Linked DNA regions of Oryctolagus cuniculus. The protein of the gene in region 1 interacts with the protein of each later gene in a pairwise test. Links are inferred from orthologs where the notes say so. Each region holds a gene or a part of one and is shown in the gene's direction. Other genes may lie near its edges. The genes, in order: PAK5, PDLIM7 and PSMF1.

What was found.
Region 2: the proteins of PAK5 (region 1) and PDLIM7 interact in a two-hybrid assay, tested with the Homo sapiens proteins (2 studies listed by BioGRID and IntAct). The two-hybrid records come from large-scale screens. The link is inferred for Oryctolagus cuniculus from reciprocal best matches to the Homo sapiens genes PAK5 and PDLIM7.
Region 3: the proteins of PAK5 (region 1) and PSMF1 interact in binary tests that used the Homo sapiens proteins (3 or more experiments, as listed by UniProt). The two-hybrid records come from large-scale screens. The link is inferred for Oryctolagus cuniculus from reciprocal best matches to the Homo sapiens genes PAK5 and PSMF1.

The regions. Positions count from the first base shown.
Region 1 is NC_091442.1:34,779,256-34,786,045, reverse strand, and holds the start of PAK5 (serine/threonine-protein kinase PAK 5), read left to right. Parts: upstream 1-2,808; 5' UTR 2,809-3,114; exon of another isoform or gene 3,115-3,347; intron 3,348-6,790.
Region 2 is NC_091437.1:63,488,459-63,494,993, reverse strand, and holds the start of PDLIM7 (PDZ and LIM domain protein 7), read left to right. Parts: upstream 1-2,413; 5' UTR 2,414-2,567; intron 2,568-3,109; exon of another isoform or gene 3,110-3,377; intron 3,378-3,466; 5' UTR 3,467-3,477; coding exon 3,478-3,573; intron 3,574-6,535. UniProt on the Homo sapiens protein: May function as a scaffold on which the coordinated assembly of proteins can occur. May play a role as an adapter that, via its PDZ domain, localizes LIM-binding proteins to actin filaments of both skeletal muscle and nonmuscle tissues.
Region 3 is NC_091442.1:27,108,883-27,114,895, forward strand, and holds the end of PSMF1 (proteasome inhibitor PI31 subunit), read left to right. Parts: intron 1-2,075; coding exon 2,076-2,129; intron 2,130-3,128; coding exon 3,129-3,287; intron 3,288-3,811; coding exon 3,812-3,863; 3' UTR 3,864-4,225; downstream 4,226-6,013. UniProt on the Homo sapiens protein: Plays an important role in control of proteasome function. Inhibits the hydrolysis of protein and peptide substrates by the 20S proteasome. Also inhibits the activation of the proteasome by the proteasome regulatory proteins PA700 and PA28.

The DNA.
Region 1 (6,790 bases):
AACTGTCACAGCCTGAATCACATCTTAGTTTCTACCTCTGTCCATTCCAGATTGTGGGTGATTTCTCACCCACAGGTGTTGGTCTCTAATCAACAGTGTCAAGAAAGGATATTATATACAAAGAAAACCTTTAGTCCTTTTCGTAATGCAGTATTTCTAGAAATAATATTAGTTTTCATCTGTAATTTTTACCTTGCATACTTCCAAAATGAACCATAGTCCTCACATTGAATCAGTAGTAACAACTGCACAAATGTCACCTTTATCACTATTGAAGTGATTAAAGTTCAGTATTTCAAATCAGAATTTTAATTGATACCAACCAATCATAAATAGACCACAGTGCAGTACTTTCTGTTTTTTTTTTTTTTTGCATCAGTGTGAGCACACATACAAAGAAGTAAAAGTAGAAGCTATTTATGCAAAAAATTATAGGTGTATCAATGAGGATGGTGGGGGGGGCAGTGTTTTCAGGACTATATATGCAGCTTTGAAAGAGTAGAGATGAGTTTAAAGAATCCTACCCTTTAAATGGAAAATCAGAATATGACAGACCTGGACATATTTCTTCTTTACATATACAAATGTTAGAGAAGAAAAGTAATCATTCATTCATCCTGTGGTTCCGGTTTCCAGATGGCAGCTACTATATTGAGGGTACTGAGAAAACAGAGAACAAGCAAAGGGGAAATGATAAATATGCTGCTAACTAGACATCTGTCTAAAGTGATTGAGTATAATGGGATCCTAAGAGATATAGATCCTTATTTTGTAAACTGCTCTCCAGTTATGGGATCAGATACCATACGTACCTGCTCATAAGTTGGAGTGGCGGAGGACAGGCAAGGGTGTGAGTTCTTAATTTCCAAGGCTAAAGGCTCACAACTAGTTTGTAACTTTCTCTCACGTTAGAAGGAGCAGCAAGCATTGTTGATAATTCCAGGTGTTTCCAAGTATTTGGGAGGGAAGTGGGCAACTGGGGGATTTAAGATGAACCACAGGTCAGCCCCAACATCACTTAGCAAAAAGGCCTGTCATCTCTTAGACCAAAACACCCTTCAATCGCCATCATCTGTTGGGCTTCCTATTGGTCAAGCCCAGCTTGGCATTACACCTTATGAGAAATTGACATCCCCACACTCCAGGAAAAGCAGGGGACAGCCAAGCCAGACTGGCTCAGATTTGAGTGGAGCAGTTACACTTGCAACCAGTTTGCTAGCCCATTAGTAAAGTGAGGGTGAAGAGATGCCAGAACCACCTCTCTGGTAGGCGCAAGATTCTAAATCAGAAAGTAGCCAATTTGGGTTGGGCGGCCAACGCCTGGCCCTGCATAGAATCCTTTCAGGATAGCTGTGGCACCCTCAAGGACACACTTTCCCTTGGGTCTCCAAGCCATCTGAAGGCAGAAAGGGTTTCTGTGGACACCAGAGGCCATGGAATATTATGGGAAACATTTCTCTGTAGAGAAAAATATTATTACCTCAGATCTTTGTCTCACATGGAAGAAAAATTTCCAAGTGGACAAGCAGAGATTTAAAAAAAAAAAGATTTTATTTATTTATTTGAGAGGTAGAGTCACAGACAGAGAGAGGGAGAGACAGAGAGAAAGGTCTTCCTTCCGTTGGTTCACTCCCCAGATGGCCGCAGCAGCCAGAGCTGTGCCAATCCAAAGCCAGGAGCCAGGTGCTTCTTCCTGGTCTCCCATGCAGGTGCAGGGGCCCAAGGACTTGGGCCATCCTCCACTGCTTTCCCAGGCCATAGCAGAGAGCTGGATGGAAAGAGAGGCAGCTGGGACTCGAATAGGCGCCCACATGGGACGCTGGCACCATAGGTGGAGGATCAACCTAATGTTCCACGGAGCCTGCCCCAAGCAGAGAGATTTAAAAGCAAGATGTATTAGAGTTAAAAGACATCCAGCCAGAGTGGCATGGAGGGGGATCCAAGAAAGGAAAAAACTCGAAGTGGTCCGTGGCAGTTGAGTTTTTAAGCACATTTTTTTGGGGGGAGGAGAGGGAAACTTGGCAATCAGATTGACATTCAGTTACAAGGTGGAGACAAAACCTTTTTTGCAGTCCTTTACCTTGTCTGGCTTGCTCCTGATAAAACAAAAGAGCCATCACAAGGGTGGGATACCTAATTTATTTTACAGTAAACTGGGAGCTCAGAAGGGTGGAGTCCCCACTCCCTTGCTAGTCTCAAGATAATACTGGAAGCTCCCAAGGAGTGGGCAGGCTTGAACTTCTGACCTTGCTAAGGATAACTTTCCTGGGGAACGTTTTCCAGCCTCAGTTTCCAGGCTGCCTATAGAACCATCTGACTCCTCACAGCTAGACCCACGGAGGCACTGGCCAGTCACAGGTTGGGTGCTCTGGATCCTGGTTACTGCAGAGCGCTGGGAGGATCAGCGGACCCACCCCACCTGCGAAGTCGTTGGGCTTGCAGAGTCTCGGGCCCCAGCCAATTGAATGCGAATCTGCATTGTAAGTCACAGGCACACGGAAGTTGGAGAAGCCCTGGTCCAGGTGGTGGCAAAGAGGCCTGCATACTGATGAGCCTCTCAGCACCCCCCCCCCCCCCATTTCCACAGGCCTCCAAAGCTCCGCTCCGCCCTGCAACGGACCTGCCCAACATTTCTGCAAACCCCGAGTGTGTGCGGAGGGGCGTGCAGGAGTTCCCCTAGCCGAGGAAAGCCGACGGAAAGTAGGATGGGATCGGCTGCTTTCTACAGCTCTCCAGTGTAGACACTCCCCCCTCCCCCCATCTATGCCCTCCCCCCCCCTCCACCCTCCCCACCCCCAGCAGCGGCCGCGGCCTGCCCCCAGCCGGCTGCCGCGAAAACCCGGAACAGCTGCTTGCGCTCGTGGACAGTCCTCTCAGGGCGAAGCCCGACAGCTGGGCATGCTCAGTAGCTGGCGGAGGTTTGGGTGGAGAGTAGAAAGCTTTGGCTCTGCCTCCCACCCCCTCCCTCCGGCCCCCGCCCCCCTTGCCCCTACCCAGCCCGTAGTAGTTCCCCAGCGTGCGCCCGGAGAGACCGGGAACATGGCGCTCGGAGCGATGGAGCAGCTGAGGAGACGCGGCTGAGGCACCGCCGCTTCGCTGACAGACAAGCGCCAGGTAGGCGAGCGCGTCTGGCGGGGCTGCTCGGGTGGAGAACGGCGCGAGGAGGGGCGCCGGCGGGGATGCGCACGGCTGGTACCCAGGGCATCCTGCCTTGTCGGGGAAAGGATGCGAAGCGGACTCTGACAGCGCGATTGTGCATCTCCCAGAAGATGCCAAAGGCTGGGGACCGGCTGCCTGGATGGAGGGGAGGGATCCGGGGACCGCCCACTCCCCAACCCCCAGCCCATGCGCTACTACCCAGCCTGGGCTCTCCACGGGTCAAATAAAGGGTAGTTCCTCTCTGCCGGGCGGGAGGGCGTGCGGGAGAAGCCGGGAGACCAACCCTGGGAGCGCGCTGGTACCCCAAACCGCTAGCCAGCCCCGCACCGGTTCTTTGTGTAGACAGCGGCTGGGTTTGCCAGGGCGCCTGCTTCTCCCAGAGAGCGCTGGTCAGAGCGCCAGGGCAGGGTTCCCATATGGTGTTTGTCTTTTGGGCAGGTGTGGACTGGAAGATGCAATAGCTGAGCCTGTGTGGGGCTGTGTTTCTCTTTGTTATTTGCCTCGGTGTGCCTGCGCGCGTGGTGGGTTGTAATGGAGACAGACAACTTCTTCTGTGGGCACCAGTGCGGGCAGAGTGAGGAAGAGGATCTCGGTTCCAAACTCTTGTGAAAATTGTATGCCGTGTCAGCTTCCTGGAGGGTGAACTTGAAAAGTCTGGGGACCCTCTGTGCCCAGTTTGGAGGAGAAGTGTTCGCTCTTCCTCAAACCATGTGTGTGTGCTCCGGAGCTTTTAGCACGAGATGTGAGTTAATTCGTCAGCATCAGATGCTAATTATTTGAAGCATCAGCGCCAAGGCCAGAGTCATGAAGAAAAAGAGAAATTGACACAAAGCCAGTAAAGTGTCATCCTTAATAGCTGATGACAGCTTGGAAAGCGGGATATACTTTTGGGGCAATCAGGGAACGTGACATTCCACAGGGTTCTACCAAAACCCAGCCAGAGTCTTAGGTACCTCACAGGATCTCTCCGCCCGTGCTTTGCTCTTCCCGGGTTGAGTGGCGTGCACTCTGTCTTACCTGAGTCCCGATGGACCCGATGCTCTCCAGGAGCTCCGTCTACAGTAGGAATCTTTCACAGTGGCACTGGCAGAACAGCTTTGTACATCAGTTCTGTTCAGCAGCACAACTCACTGCGTTGGGGTGCAAAGGTAAATTTAAGTCATGCTTTATTTTTTGCTTTATAATATAAAGAGTAGACATCTGTGAATATGAAGTTTGGAGACACTTCCCTCCACCCTTTCTTTTTTTTTTTTTATGATCTTGTTAGGTGGGAAGAGTTAGTTTAATCAGAATGAAATGGGGGCTGCTTGAGGAAAAGGCATTTCAATTAAAGCCATTAACGTCCAATCTGATGGGTACTACTTGGAGTTGGGATAAATATATGCAAACCAGAAATGCTGCTAATGCAAGCAAGGGAATGTGCTTCGAGGCCATTGCTAGCATTGGCCAGTGTTCCTCTGTGATTGAGTAGATTGTACTCAGTCTCTGCAACTTGTTATTTTGTGAGTTTTAAATGCAGGTACTCCCTCTCCTTCACTTTATCAGAGCTTGCTGAAACACTGCCAGCTGAGAAGCAGGGGTTCCAGGTTATGGTATCGTGTTCTTTTTAAAAGATACTTATTTGAGAGGTGGAATTACAGACAGAGAGAAAGGTCTTCCATCCGCTGGTTCACTCCCCAGATGGCTGCAGTGGCCAGAGCTGAGCTGATCCAAAGCCAGGAGCTTCTTCCAGGTCTCCCATGCAGGTGCAGGAGCTCAAGCACTTGGGCCATCTTCCATTGCTTTCCCAGGCAATAAGCAGAGAGCTGCATTAGAAGAGGAGCAGCCAGGACACCCATATGGGATGCTGGCACCGGAGGCAGAGGCTTATTCTACTAGGCCACAATAGATATAGTCTTGGTTGATAACACAGAGCTGACTTTGCCCCGGCCTCTTTCAAGTTTAGATTTGTGGTCATGGGAAAGCTGTTTAACTTTCCCAAGCCTCAATTTTCTCATCTGTGAAACAGGCTTAGGAATAGTAGGACGTACTAAATGAGTAGGTATGAAGATTACTTATAAACCACCATAAAAATAGTGATGACCATTAAGAGAAAAGACATGTATGTTTATTGAACCCCCATTCTGTGCCCTGTATGAAACAAGGTTGTTTCAAATAGGTGATTTCATTTAAATCTTTGCAACCATTTTACTTCCTAGGGCTTCCATAGCAAACAACCGCACACTTGGCAGCTAAGAACCACAGAAACTGACCCTGTCCCAGTTCTGGAGGCTGGAAGTCCAAAAGCAGAGTCCACAGGACCTCGCTCCCTCCAAGGTCCTAACAGGGGATCTTCCTTTGCCACTTTCAGGTTCTGGCAGCCCCAGGTGTTCTTGGATATAACTTCAGTCTCTGCCGCTGTCTTCATGGGGCACATTCTTTCTGCGTGTCCTTGGATAAAAAACAATTCATCTTCATGTAAGGACATCATTCATATGAATTTAGGATGCACTCTAAATTAATATGACCTCCTTGTGATTACTTCTATGAGTAACTGATTCCCAAACAAGGTCTCATTCACAGCTTCTGGGTACACATGAATGTTTGGGAGACGCTTCTAAGGCCATTACAGCAACATAGACTGAAGAATTGTGTGTAATCACAACACAAGATGATGTCAACATAAGAGCAGAATATAAAGATAGAATAAAATGAGTTTAGAAAAAACTGAAGGACTGTTAAAACAATCTATCTAAGGTTTTATATCCCCAACTATGTTAGAGAAAACAGTATTCAAAAGTACGTCATTTATACAATGGTACTTCAGAAAACGTTTGTCAAAAAATGGCATTAAAAGACTACTTTTGCTGAAAAATTTTGAAATTTGTGCATAGAAATGTGTCCAAAATGTTCAGAGTATTCTGAATCTGCTCCGATTCTAGTTTCCTGCTAATGTGGACCCTGGGTGGCAGAAAATGATGGTTCAAATACTTGCATCCCTGCCATCCATGTGGGTGATTTGGATGGAGTTATCAGCTCCCAATTTTGATCTGGCCCAGCCCTATCCATGGCAGGCATTTGGGGAGGGGATCAGTGGGTCAGAGCTCTCCCTCTTTTCTCTTTTTACTTCTCTCTCTGTCAAATAAAAATATGCTCATGGGAAATGCATATTATGGGAATTATACTTGGGTTTCAAAAAACTTTTGCTCTGAAATAAACAGCCTTTAATGATACTTTTCCATTAACTTTTTGAAGTGCCCTCATGCATATCACTTATCTGGAAACCAAGACAATGTAGTACCAGGTCTTCTAGAGGCTTCTCAAAATGTAATCTTTCCAAACTGACTTCTGGAAGTTGCTGCTGCCTTGTTTTGCTACACTATTAACACTTGGAAAAGCAAACCAAAACAATAACAGCAACAAATATATCCTTACACTTTCTAGTCTTTGCTGATATCTTTTCATGTTAACATAATATTAATACAAAGAACAGATTCAATGTAATTCATAGACACAATTCTGAGAACATAAGGATATTCCCTTCCTCCCTCCCACCTTTCCTTTCTTCCTTCCTTCCTTAGTTCTTGAGATAACATATTTTTAATTAACATTATCCTGATGAATAACACACTGCCCATGAAATCACCCTAGC
Region 2 (6,535 bases), on another chromosome or scaffold:
AACTAATAAATTGTAGGACTTGCTCCTGATTGGAGGAGAGCAGCGTACTCGGCGTGTGGGCAGCCGAGTTGGGATTGGCGGAGGAGGACTATAAAGGAGGAGAGAGACGGCATGCACGGGGAACATCTATGGGGAACATCTAAGGGAACCCGTGCAGCCCCCGAGAGAACCGGCCGGCGGTGTGCCGCTCCCCTGCGGAAGTGGGGAATGTGGCCAGGGGGAACTGCCCTTCCACGGAGGTGGAAGGGATAGTAGCCAACCCGGGAAGAACCAGCAGCAAACCCGGGGAGGGCCGAGCAGACGAAAGAACAGCGCAGGGTCCTGTGTTGCTCCTCCACGAAGAGGGGGAGCGACATAATGGTGCCGTGACTCGGATATGAAGCCTAGGCAGGGCTTAGTGTCGTTCCTCCACGAAGAGGGGGAGCGACACCGGGGACTGACATTCTGATGGGAACAGGCAACAACTAAGAAACAAACATGGCACAGTGGGTAAAGCTGCCGCCTGCAGTGCCGGCATCCCATATGGGTGCCGGTTTGAATCCCAGCTGCTCCACTTCTGAGCCAGCTCTCTGCTATGGTCTGGGATAGTAGGTAGAAGATGGCCCAAGTCCTTGGGCCTCTGCACCCATATGGGAGACTCCGAAGAGGCTCCTGGTTTTGGACTGGCCCAGCTCTGGCTGTTGCGGCCATTTGGGGAGTGAACCAGTGGATGGAAGACCTCTGCCCCTGCCTCTCTGTAACTCTGCCTTTCAAATAATCTGTTTTTTTTTTGAAAGACACAAATGTTTAACATCAGAGGGTGGAAAGTGCAAGGGGATAAGAGGGGCGGGTGTTGGGCACAGAGGCTAAGTCCCCCCTCTTGGGGCACCCCACGCCCCTCATCAGGGTGCCTGGTTTGGCTCCATCTACTCTTCTGATTCAGCTCCCTGTTAATGCACATTCTGGGAGGCAGCAGTTGATGGTTAAAGTCCTTGGGTCCCTGTCACCTATGCGGGAGACCTGGATGGAATTCCGGGCTTCCGGCTTCAACCTGACCCAGCACTAGCTGTTTTGGACATTTTGGGGGTGAACCAGCAAATGGAATAAAAACTTTAAAAGCAGGGTAAAAGGACCAGTGTGTACTGTGAATTGCTGTTACAGATGGTGACCAGGGAAGACCCCTTAGAGCAGGCAGCATCTCAGCGGAGACTTGAGCAAACTGAAAGCAGCCAGAATGATCCGTGTAAAGGCCCTGAGGCCAGAACATCCTTGGCACATGGAGGAACAGTGAGGAGGCCACCTGGCTAGAGCAGAGTGAGCGAGCAATGGGCCCTGTTTACTACGGTTATATGAGTCTTCTTTATTTATTTGAAAGTCAGAGTTACACACAGAGAGAAGGAGAGGCAGAGAGAAAGAGAGAGAGAGAGGTCTTCCATCTGCTGGTCCACTCCCCAGATGACTGCAACGGCCAGAGCTGGGCCGACCCGAAGCCAGGAGCCAGGAGCCAGGAGCTTCTTCTGGGTCTCCCATGTGGGTGCAGGGGCCCAAGGACTTGGGCTATTGTCTACTGCTTTCCCAGGCCATAGCAGAGAGCTGGATCGGAAGTGGAGCAGCCAGGTCTGGAACCAGCGCCCATATCGGCTTTATCTGCTATGCCACAGCGTGGCCCCCAAGTTACATGAGTCTTAAGGCTTAGTTTTGAGCCTACTGGAATGCTAAAAGCTGAGTGTGAGTTCCCTTTAACAGTATCAGTTGAGCTGGTCCTTGGAGAAGGCCCCGGAGGGGACCAGGGTGAAAGCAGGGGCCCATTAGGAGACTGCTACAGGTCACCAGGAACAACCGGGGCCGCAGCGACCAGTGCGTGCCCCTCTAGGACTGGGGGCCGCGGAGGGGCGTGGGTTCAGGAGAGAATGTCTGTAAAGCGGAGGAGCGTGGGCGCCGGGCGCTCACCACGGTGCATGCGCTGCGCGTGGGGCCGGGCTCCGAGCTCCGGAGACCGGCGCGAGGCCGAGCCGAGGACGCCCTCCAGCTTCGTCCACTCAGGTTGTCCACGGCAAATGCAGCTGCACGGTCACTCCTCGTCCCTCTCATCCTTCCTCACCCCGACGCCCCCATACCGACCCTCTGGCAACCCCAATTGGGGAGCACTAGCGCCCCATTTTCCCGAGGACACGGCTAACGTCCAGTGGGGCCTGGCTTCGAAGGTCTCTCTCCCCTGCTGGCGGGAGGCGCAGGGGGCGGGGCGAGGCGTGGGCGGAGCAAAGTCCTCCCGACGCGGCGTCCCGCAGCCAGGCCCCGCCCAGGCCCTGCCCCGCTCAAGGAGAAGGGGCGGGCAGCGCCGTGTGCTCAGAGCCAGACGGGGCTTCGTGATTGGACAAGGCGGAAAGCTTGGGTGGGGCTCTCCCCCGGCAGAGCGACCGCCTGTGGGTGTGGACACGCGGAGGGCGTGGTCTCCCACTCCGCCCCCTTCCACAGGCTCAAAGCGGGCGGTGTCCGCGGGGGCGGGGCCAGAACGCGGTCTGCCGATCCGATTCCAGCGCGGCTCCTAGGAGCCCGCCGCGGAGCAGCGCCCCGGCGGGGCAGAGCAGGTACCGGCGGACGCGCGGGGCTCTTGGTCCGAACCAGGCGGGGGCCGGGGGCCTTCTGAAGACTACGGAGCGCACTGGGGGTCTTGGCCGGCGCTGGGCCTGCTCCTGCGGGTTCGGCCCCTGCCTCCGCCCCCGCCCCCGCCTTCCTGCGGCGAAGCCCGCTTGTGGCGGGGCCGGTTGGCGCCTGCGCCGCTGCATGGTGCCTGGGCTGGGGGCTGGAGGGAAACTGAGTCACGGCAGGGCGGGCACAGTCCTGTGCGGGAGGCACCAGCGTAGCTCCCCTTCCTGGCCACGTTTTGGGGTCCCCACTGCTCTCCGCTGGAGACTCGTCCCACTCCTGCCCCCAACCGCTCAGAGCGCCCAAGGGGTCCCGCCCCGGCTCCCAAAAGCCTCGACCTGCCCTGGAATGGCCAGGACGCGCTCCAGGCGCCTCGCGCCCGTACCCCTCCCCCTCGCGCGGAGCCCCCGTGGCTCCCTCCACTGCTCTCCGCGCAGTATCAGCTTACACGCCTTATATAGTCCGAGCAGGCTGCAGCCGCGGCCTGCCTGCCGGGACCTGGGGGCGGGGGAGCCGAGAGCCGGCCCCTGACTCACCCCGCTGCCCGAGGCTCCAGGCTGGCTTGGGGGGAAGCCGTGCCAAATTAGTCCCACCCGTGGATACCGAGAACTTTAAGCCTGGGAAAGGTTCACCCTCCCAGGCCCTGGGCGGGGGGCTGCCCTTGTCTGTTTTTTTTTTTTTTTTTGGAAGTGAGGTCTGCCAGCCAGCCTCACAGCCTAGCCTGGCCAGATACGTGCCCACCCGGGCCTGGGGTGCGCTCAGTGTCTGTCTTGCCTGCTTGGCACCTGTTCAAGGCTAGCGTCCGCAGCTGGGACGCTCACTTTCCCATTTCTCCTCTCAGGAGCCGACACCATGGACTCCTTCAAAGTACTGCTAGAGGGTCCAGCACCGTGGGGCTTCCGGCTGCAAGGGGGCAAGGACTTCAATGTGCCCCTCTCCATCTCCCGGGTAAGCCTGGTTGGGAGAGGGGCTCCGAATAGCGGCGGTGGGGTGGGAAGGTTGTCTTTGATTGCTCAGGTCTCCAGGGGGAATCTAAGCAGGAGGCCCAGGTGTCAGCAGGCCAGGAGGTGTCTGTCCAGGTCCAGAAAAGTGGTGGCTGCCTACTCCCAGGACCCCTGCCTAGGTAGACAGGGGAGTGGAGCCCCCAGACTCCCATATCTGTGCACTGTACCTGATGCCACTTCACCGAGCCTCTGCGGTCACCTCTGGGGGCCGAGCAGAAGGGAGAAGGCCCATTGGTGTGGGAGGGAGCTTGATGAATTCAGCAAGGATCTAAACTTGAGAACAGTGCTCGGGAGCCTGGCCCCAGGCAGAGCACCCTGTGGAATCTTACCACCGCCTCACTGCCACCTAGGGGATAGCAGCTGCCATCCTGTTTGTCCAAAGGAGGGAACTTGGAATGGTGGAGGGCTTGTCCACGGCAAAGCAGAGATTTGAAACTGGGCAAGGACAGCCTGCGGGTTTTACAGGTCCCCAAGTCAATGAGAGGACCTGTGTCTCCATCCAACTGGTCCTGGTTTAGGATGTAGTGGCCTTTGACCCTGAGCGAAGGTGTGGTGAGGCTAGGCTGTAGGGCTGGGACCCAAATTCCTGAGAGCCTGCCCTGGTGGGGCGGAGCTGGTGGCTGGCTCCTCCCCATGGCAGGGGGATTGCCTTATAAGCCCAAGAATGCAGCCCCAGGCTGGGATGGCCAACAGTGGCTGGAGTCTACCTAGCTGAAAAGGGCTGGCCTGTGCCTGGACCTCCGAGCCCCCTCCCCTGGTGGCCAGGCTGTGACTCCTGGGACCCAGAAAAGAAACCACCCGCCCAGAGCAGTGAGGCCAGCACTTGGGCCAGTCCCTCTCTCTCTCTCTCTCTCTGGCCTGGGGGTCAGGAGGGGGCGGGGACTTCCTGCCCCTACATCCGCCAGTGCAGGGAGGCCCACCCAGCCGCCTGGTGGGCAGACAGCTGTTGGCAGGAAGCCCAGGGCAAGCCCAGCCTGAGGGGCCTGAGTGTTGTCCAGGCACCAGGCAGTCTGAGAGAGGCCCAGGGCAGAGTCTGTTCGTGGCGGTTTGGCCTGGTGGCCGGGGCAGGCAGTGTTCTGCCCCCCGGTATCTTTCTGCAGAGTTTTGGGGCAGGCAGGTCCCTAACACACACACACACACACACACACACACACACACTCCACCCTGAAACCTACCCTGCATCCCCCTCCCTGGGAAAATGCCACCCCATGTGGCTGGGAGACTTGGTCGGACTGGTCTCCGCCTCACCTCTTTGCTGATGAGAGTGATCTTTCAGATGTGGCCTGCGGGGGGCACTGTGGGCCCAGGCTCCCCTGTCTGCCGCCCCAGCCCAGGGGTGGGACCAGCAGCTAAGCCCAGCCTTGGAGTTGGACCCAGGCCCTGGTGGTGGGTGGATGGAAGTGGTCTTTTTCAGCGTTGGGCCAGCCCCCTCCTCTTCTCCTGACCCCAGAATGAAGGGAGGCGGGAGGGGCGAGGGCTGGCTGTGGGCCCAGGCCTGGGAGATGAGGTAACGTCTGAGACTGGTGGGGGGAGGGGTTGGGCTGCCCAGTGGAGCCCTTGGGCTGACTCACGCCCCCCTCTCCTGTGTCCAGCCCCCTGGCTTTTCTCCTCCTTGTCTCTCTGGCCTTGCCCTGCCCCTGGCCTGAGCTGCTCCCTGCTTTTTTTTTTTTTTTTTTTTGCCAGCTGCCTTCCCCATCTCTTCTGCTTCCACTCCCCCCACTCCCACTCACCACCCGCCACCCCCTCAAACTTCCTGTCTTCCCAGTCCCAGGAAGGAAGTGGTCCCTGACCCTCATTCCTGCTCTGGGCCAGCTGATCCTGGCTTACTCCAAGGCCCCCGCCACACGCTCACCCGCACCTCCCAGTGTGGGGAGGGAGTGGCCGGGCCAGGTTCTACTGACTCACTGGTGACCGGGAGTAAGTCACTTCCCCTCGAGGGCATCACTTCCTCATCCCACTGTAAGAGACCTGACTGAACCAAAGGTGGACGGACATACAGGAGCCGGGTCCCAAAGCCAGCCGCCCAGGAGGGAGTCCTTCCAGGTGGACTGACCCCTCAGTACGCCCCATTCAGCAGAGATAGCCTAGAGTGGTAGAATCTTAGGGATAGGGTCACTTCCTGTCTCTGCCTCTTATCAGCTGGGTGACTTGAGGCAAATTGCTTAACCTCTCTGTTTTCCCGTGTGTAAACTGTATAATCGAAGACTCCTCCCCAAGCTTGTGGGAGAGTTCAGTATCTATGGCAATGCCAGGTGCTCATTAAATGCAGGCTGCTATCCTTGCTGGTTGGTCCTTGGCCAGTGAAGAAGGGACTGCCCGGGGCTGTCACACTTCTAACCGCACGCAAGCATGGAATTGAGCGGCAAGCCCAGCTCCCCTCCTCGTCCCAGTCTCTGTCCTCTCTCTAGAACAGCCCCACCCCAGGAGCTAGGAGCTTTCAGGGCCCCCTGTGGGCTCAGACCCATGGGCAGCCAGAGCCACCCTTGCTGTGTTGTGGGGTAGAGCTACAGGGCTTGGAGGGCCCCGTGGGGTCTGTCAGAGTCAGGTCTATCAGTGGCATTGGAAATACTCACCCTAGTTCCTTAAAACTGTTAGTGCCCCCCTGCCCTTGAGGTGGGGGCCAGGTGCTTCCCCCACAGCTGAGACTTTCATCAGGGGGGCCGGCCATTTCCATGGAGGCTTCAGCTCGTGCTGGTGGGATCGGGCCTCCCAGCCTGCTGGCATCCCCTGGTTTGCCACAGGAACCAGGAGTTCCCAACTCAGAGCCCACAGGGCTGGGCTGTAGTGGCAGTGGAGGCCTAGGGGTAATGCCCACTGATGGCCCAAGAAACCCAGGTCAGGCACTCCGGCCCTCGGGGCCCCAGTCCCCGCAGGTGGCCCCAGGACTGGGAGTTGGGAGGTGTCAG
Region 3 (6,013 bases), about 7.7 Mb from region 1:
CTGCCTCAGAAAGTCTATGGGAAATGAGATTAAAAGGGAAGTTTATTTCTATGCAAACATATTTTAAAATCCATGCATACAAGAGGTCTTCAAAAATGTCATGAAAAATGCAGTTATGAAAAAAGTATGTGTGATTTCAAAGATTTTTTGCATCATAACATTTTTTATTGCATTCCCTCCCCCCACAATGTTTCAAAGTATCCTTGTACAAAAATGACTTGCATTTGAATGCCCATAAGTTCATCTCCACACATCCAAACTGAGGGTCGGCCAAGGGGGCTCTGAGGGAGGTGACGGACCCCCTGTGTTGTTTTTGTCAGATTCTAAGCTTGTGCATTGTGAGTTCACCAAAATGTGCGTGGGTTGTAGTGACTGCTGAATGTGCTGTGAAATTTCAAGGGCGCAGATTAGCAGAGTGGAACTTGTGGCTGCCTTTCTAGCCTTCACTGTTGTCTTTCTTCTCCCTTCCCACACGCTGTGGTCCAGAAATTAGGAGCAGTCAAGGCCCTTTACTTGGAGGCGTTTTAACAGCCACCAAAAGCCCCCCTGTTTCCATTCTGTAGTGGGCAGGGTGCCCTCTGGCACCGCCTGGTCTGTCTCCAGTGAGGCAGGATGTCGGAGGCCACCAATAACATTGACTACTAGCTCCGTGAGCCGTGGCCTGGGAACAATAACCTAGGTCACGAATAATTCCTTCCTTTGGAAACCTGGCCTGATCTGCTTCAGTTGCAATATCCTTTTCAGCCCATTAGGTGAAACCGATGGAGAAGCGCCTGTTTGGATTTCTTCCCAGTTCTCTAATTAATGGCTTCTTTCCTGTAAGTGTAGGGTAGCTGCTGTGTATCAAGCGACCCTGTGTTCTGGCAGGAGCTGCGGGAACCCCAGAACTGTTGGCTTTGTACTGCTTGCAGAGCTCCAAGCAGATTCCAAAGCACATTTTCTTCAATACTAATTCTCTGCCTTACTGTATACAGATCCTGTATAGAAAATCACAGGAGGGTGTGGAGAAGAAACTCCCCATCCAGGAGTGCTGTCACTGTTTACACTCTGAGAATGCCTCTTTGTAGCTCTGTTTACACATACACGCCCCCACACACGTACTTTTCACAGTTGATTTCCCATTGCTGTTGATAATCCTCCCCACACCCGCACTTCACACTTGAGAAAAAGCATTTTGAAAACATTCTGAGGACATTGTTTCTGTTGTTTCCATGGCTGCATTTAGGAGTATACCACGTGATACCAGACTGGTCCCCATTTAAGCTGATGCCAATTTCCTTGCTTAAAGTCTTTGTTAGATATATTTTCATTTGAATTCTGTATTCTTAATTTAAGATGGATACTTAGGCATTTAACTATTGGCTCAATATAAAGCTACACAAGACTTCCAAAAGCCAGGTTCTATTTTGTGTATGCATTAGAGAGAGGATGTTGAGTTGTCCTCCAGAAAGTAGCCACTCCTTTTCACAGCTCACAGTGTCAGTGAAGGCAAAAACAGGCTTTGTGGGGGGACTGGAGAGGAGACTGTTGAGAACTGACAGTGGCTGTGGCCCATGACGCTCCAGAGGGCTCCAGTGCCTAAACAGTGCAGTGTAGTAGTGGAAGAGCTCATGCAAGACCCACGGTGAACAAACATAAGAGGCACAGCTCCGGCTGCTGAGACTCCGTGCCTTTGTTACTCCTGGGAAGCATTTAAACCTGAGCTTTGGGGTTTGGGTTTTAGAATAACTTTCTGATGAAAAGTTCTTTGTTCATTATACAGAGAAAGGGTCGAATAAAATAGAATTTATGTGGAGGTTACCATTGTTAATATTTTTAGCTTTAAACAGGCAGATTCTCCATGTGGTTAGCTTTGTGATGAGCCCTTTTCACGTAATTGCTGCTATAATACTGGTATTCATCTGTGCCAAGGACCCCTTGGAAGGATCCCTTCCTTGTGTTACGGTCTCTTGCAGGGACCCGTCCCCCTTGCCTGGAAGTGCCTTTCTGACCCTGCAGGCATTGGGTTCGAGCCCCTGGCTGCCTGGCGCCTGGCTGCTCTGTGACGTGTGGTAATTGTTCCTTGTTTGTTTCAGGTGTGATCCCCTGGGCCCGTTTGCCGTCGGGGGAGAAGACCTAGACCCCTTTGGGTGAGTACTGCTGGGGAGGTGGCAGCAACCTAACCGGCTCCCGTGGCTTCTCAGCCCCAGCTCATCTTCTAATTTGAGGCTTTCCTTTGGGGTGGAGGAGGAAGCTGTTGCCAAGCGGCTGAGCAAGCCCTGGTGTTGACTGTGCGTCGTGCCCATAGCAGCGCCCGAGTGCAGCACGGGGGCCGCCTCAGGATTGCCCAGGCACTGATGGAGGAGCACACAGTGGGCCGCTGAGTTGAACGTTGCTCAGGGTTGTTGTGAGGTTGCCCCGCTAGATAAAGGGAGTCTTTGAGCCTCGTTAGACTGTCTGTGATCCTTGCCATACACCCCATAAAGTTACTGCTGCCTCGGCTATGCACTGTCTGCTCTGCAGAATTCAGACTGGATTTAGCCTCTGCTGCAAGGTGACCCCAACTTAGACATCTCCTCTTTAGATAGAGGGGAAGTCACTTAACTCTCCAGTGCAGCCTGAACAGTGACCTCGGGGGAATAGCAGCTCACTCTCCTAGTTGGAGCATGTGAGGTCAGGTTCATGGAACTCCTTGGGGGACAGATGCTGTCAGGAGCCAGAATTGGGCAACCTACAGGCAGGCTCAGATGGCTCTGAGGCCCAAAAGGGAAACAGAGCCAAAGAAACTGGCTTCATGGGTTGTTTTTAGTTATTAGTCCTTCAACCTAACATATGCCCTGTAGAGCCTTGTGACAGCTCTGTATTGACCTTAGCCAGTTCCAGCTCCTGTTCTTGATCAGATCACCCCGCTTGGGTATAGGACATAACAAGGGTTCTCAGTAGGCTCAGGGAGGCCTACAGAACCAAAAGTACAGTCCCTTAGCATTCTTGCTTTTGCCAGCTTCCTGCTGGCTTTCAGGCACCATTCACATGACTGTCAGACCCTCAGAGTGGACACGGTCAGTCTTCATCCACGCCCCCTTTCTTCACCTTTGCTTGAAGGGCAGTCCTTGCCATGGCTGCTTACCCAGTTTGCCTTCTTGCCTCAGGTGTCGGAGAGGTGGCATGATTGTGGATCCCCTGAGATCTGGCTTCCCAAGAGCACTTATTGACCCATCCTCAGGCCTCCCGAACCGGCTTCCGCCAGGCGCTGTACCCCCAGGAGCTCGCTTTGACCCCTTTGGACCCATTGGGACCAGCCCATCAGGGTAGGTATTCACCCAGGTATGCTGAGAAGCGGGACCTGATGGCAGTTCAGTTCCGTGTAGTGGCAGCTAAAGTCTCTGAAACCAGGAGCAGAGTTGCCATTGCCTCCACCCACTGATGCCGAGACGGTAGAGCCTCTACCGTGGTGCTGTCTGCTGCCTCCATAGAGCCTTCCAGGAGCTCGCCATCTCTGAGTGCCTCCCTTCCCCTAGCTCCCCTCCAGGGAGGACTCAGAAGGAGGAAGAGCTACCCCTAACTAGAAGTTAAGCATGTGTCAGACTCATTGTATCCTCTGTCAGCAGTCTTGGGTAGGTGGTACTATCCTCATGTTTATGGATGCAGACATTGAGGCTCTGAAAGCTGAGGTCACTGACCCCGGGTGAGGGACTCAGAAATCAAACCCAGGCTCTTGAGTCGTGGTCTGAACTGCCGCGCTCCACCACAGCACCCTGGGGGCAGGCTCCATCCGCCTGTGTGCTCCGGCCCCTCCCGCACTCCGACTCACCAGCCCCTCTTTCCATTCCAGACCTAACCCAGACCATCTCCCCCCGCCGGGCTACGATGACATGTACCTGTGAAGGCCTCAAGAATGTAACATCCCAGCCTTCTCTCCACTCTCCTGGAGCTGCCACCACTGGCCCCGTCAGCAACCGTGTTCTTGCGGGCTGGGGCCCAGGGACTCTGCCCATGTGTTTGCTGGCCGGCTGGGGTTGCCTCCCCTCCCCTTATCAGAGCTGAGGCACTTGCTGCAGCTCTCCACCCGGCTGCCTTAGGTCCCAAAGATCTCACACCATCAGCTCCTCCCTACTTTCCAAGGGAGCCTCCGGCAACATAAACCCTCCACCCGACGGAGTCCCAGTCACAGCGCTATAAGAACAGAACGCATTTTGGATGTTATTATGAAGAACCAAATGTCAATACAAAATTCACGTTGCCGGTCTCTCACTTTTCTTTTTGCTTTGATGCACACAGCTCCTTCTGGTGACAAGGCTTTAGAGTTTTAGTCTTTGTAGGGCCCAGCAACTCTCTTCCCGCCCAGGGCCTGCTCTTGCTTCTCAGGCACTTGCGCTCATAAACTGCTGTTGCTCCTGAGATCGCTAAGATGGGTCCGACTCCTTGGATAGAAAATGAGTGACTAGAAATGCACTGGTCTCCTAGGACAGGGCAGGCACACTGTGGAAAGACTGCATCACTCTGACAAGGGCACAGTCCTCCCGTATTCCTGTTCTGGGCCGGCCCTCAGCTCCATCTGCCCCTGGGCAGCAGTAGCCTGATAAGCAGAGGAATAAACAGAACAGACCTAGAGGCTAATCTCATTTTTGCCCTAACTCACTGAGTGACCCTAAGCAAGTCCCACCTTTTAGGCCTCTCGCCCACCTATGAAATGAGAGATCCTTCCCTGCCCTGAAACATCAGTGCTGCTTTCTCTGGCTGGGGCCCCTAGGAACTGGGCCGAAGGAGCAGACTGAAAGTCAAGGCTCTCTGGTACTGCTTACTGAGTCTCCCTCTCTCTCGTCCCTCGCCCAGTCAAGATCACGGCAGCATGGGCTCTGTCTGAGTGTGGTGGTGAAATTCGGGAGGAACAGGGAGCCCCAGCTCTGGAAGCCACTGTCCTGTGTCCATGCCCACCTGACATTTGGTGTTCTCCAGATCCTTTTCAGGCTGAGGCCTGCCACGTGGGCAGTGATGAGCCCCTGTGCTACAGTGGAAAGAGCACCCTACAGCTGCGGTTCAGAGGCACAGGTCCAGGCACTAGTCACTTTGGCTTCCCCACTGGCGTTTCAGATGTGTGGGGGTCCTTTTACTTCTCAGCTTTTCTGATCCCTCCCGGCAGTTAGGACGTATTGCTTGCTTGTGGGCAGTAGGCTCCTGTAGCTTTGCTGAAGCACTGCTAGGCTGTTTCTATGCTGCTCCTCTGCTCAGCCTGAGGATGGGTAGCAGTAAGCTAAACTGACCCTCAGGCCCAGGGTGGGAGGCTTGCAGGAGCAGGCCCTTTCCATGTCAAACACCAAGACGCCAGAGGTAGCTGACAGCTTTGAACCCCTTAGAACATTTGTGCACTTAGGGAAAGACCCAGATATCAGGCAGAGGCACAGATGCCATCCTTGCTCATAACCTCCTTCCTTGAGGGCTGGTGGGTTAGTGAAATATGAGTTCTGGTTTGGGAATCAGATCATACCTGTAACCAAAGGGATCGGGAGCGATTTGCTCATGAAAGCATCCTTTATTATAACAGGAAGCATCTGTAAAAGGAACATCAGACTGGAGACATCAGGCAGGGAGGGTAGATCAGTGTGTCTGATTCAAGGAAAAAATAAGATTAATAATAAATTTTCCACTTACGTTTTCTAGAGCAAAGTTTGAAAATACAATCATACACATACTTCTGTTTTCTGAAGCAGAAAATATAGTGATTCCTCTTCAGAATCAGTTGTTTGTTACGTGGGTCTCCCTGTATCAAGGAGGAGCACAGGCCATGTCTTAGATGTTGCGTGTGGGCAGGGAATGGGGTGTTTAGGAACTTCCTGGTCAAGCTGTTGGTGCTGGATTTGACGTGGGCTGCTTCCCTCCAGCTGTGAGTCCTCCCCGAGCAGCAGGTGGGGACGTTGCAGGTGTGTGTTTTGTAGAACCCCCAAATTGTAGCCTTAACAATAAACATCCACACTTCATAACCTGTTCTTTCTTAGTGATAGCTTTATTGAGATACAGTTCACAGACCAAAAGTTCA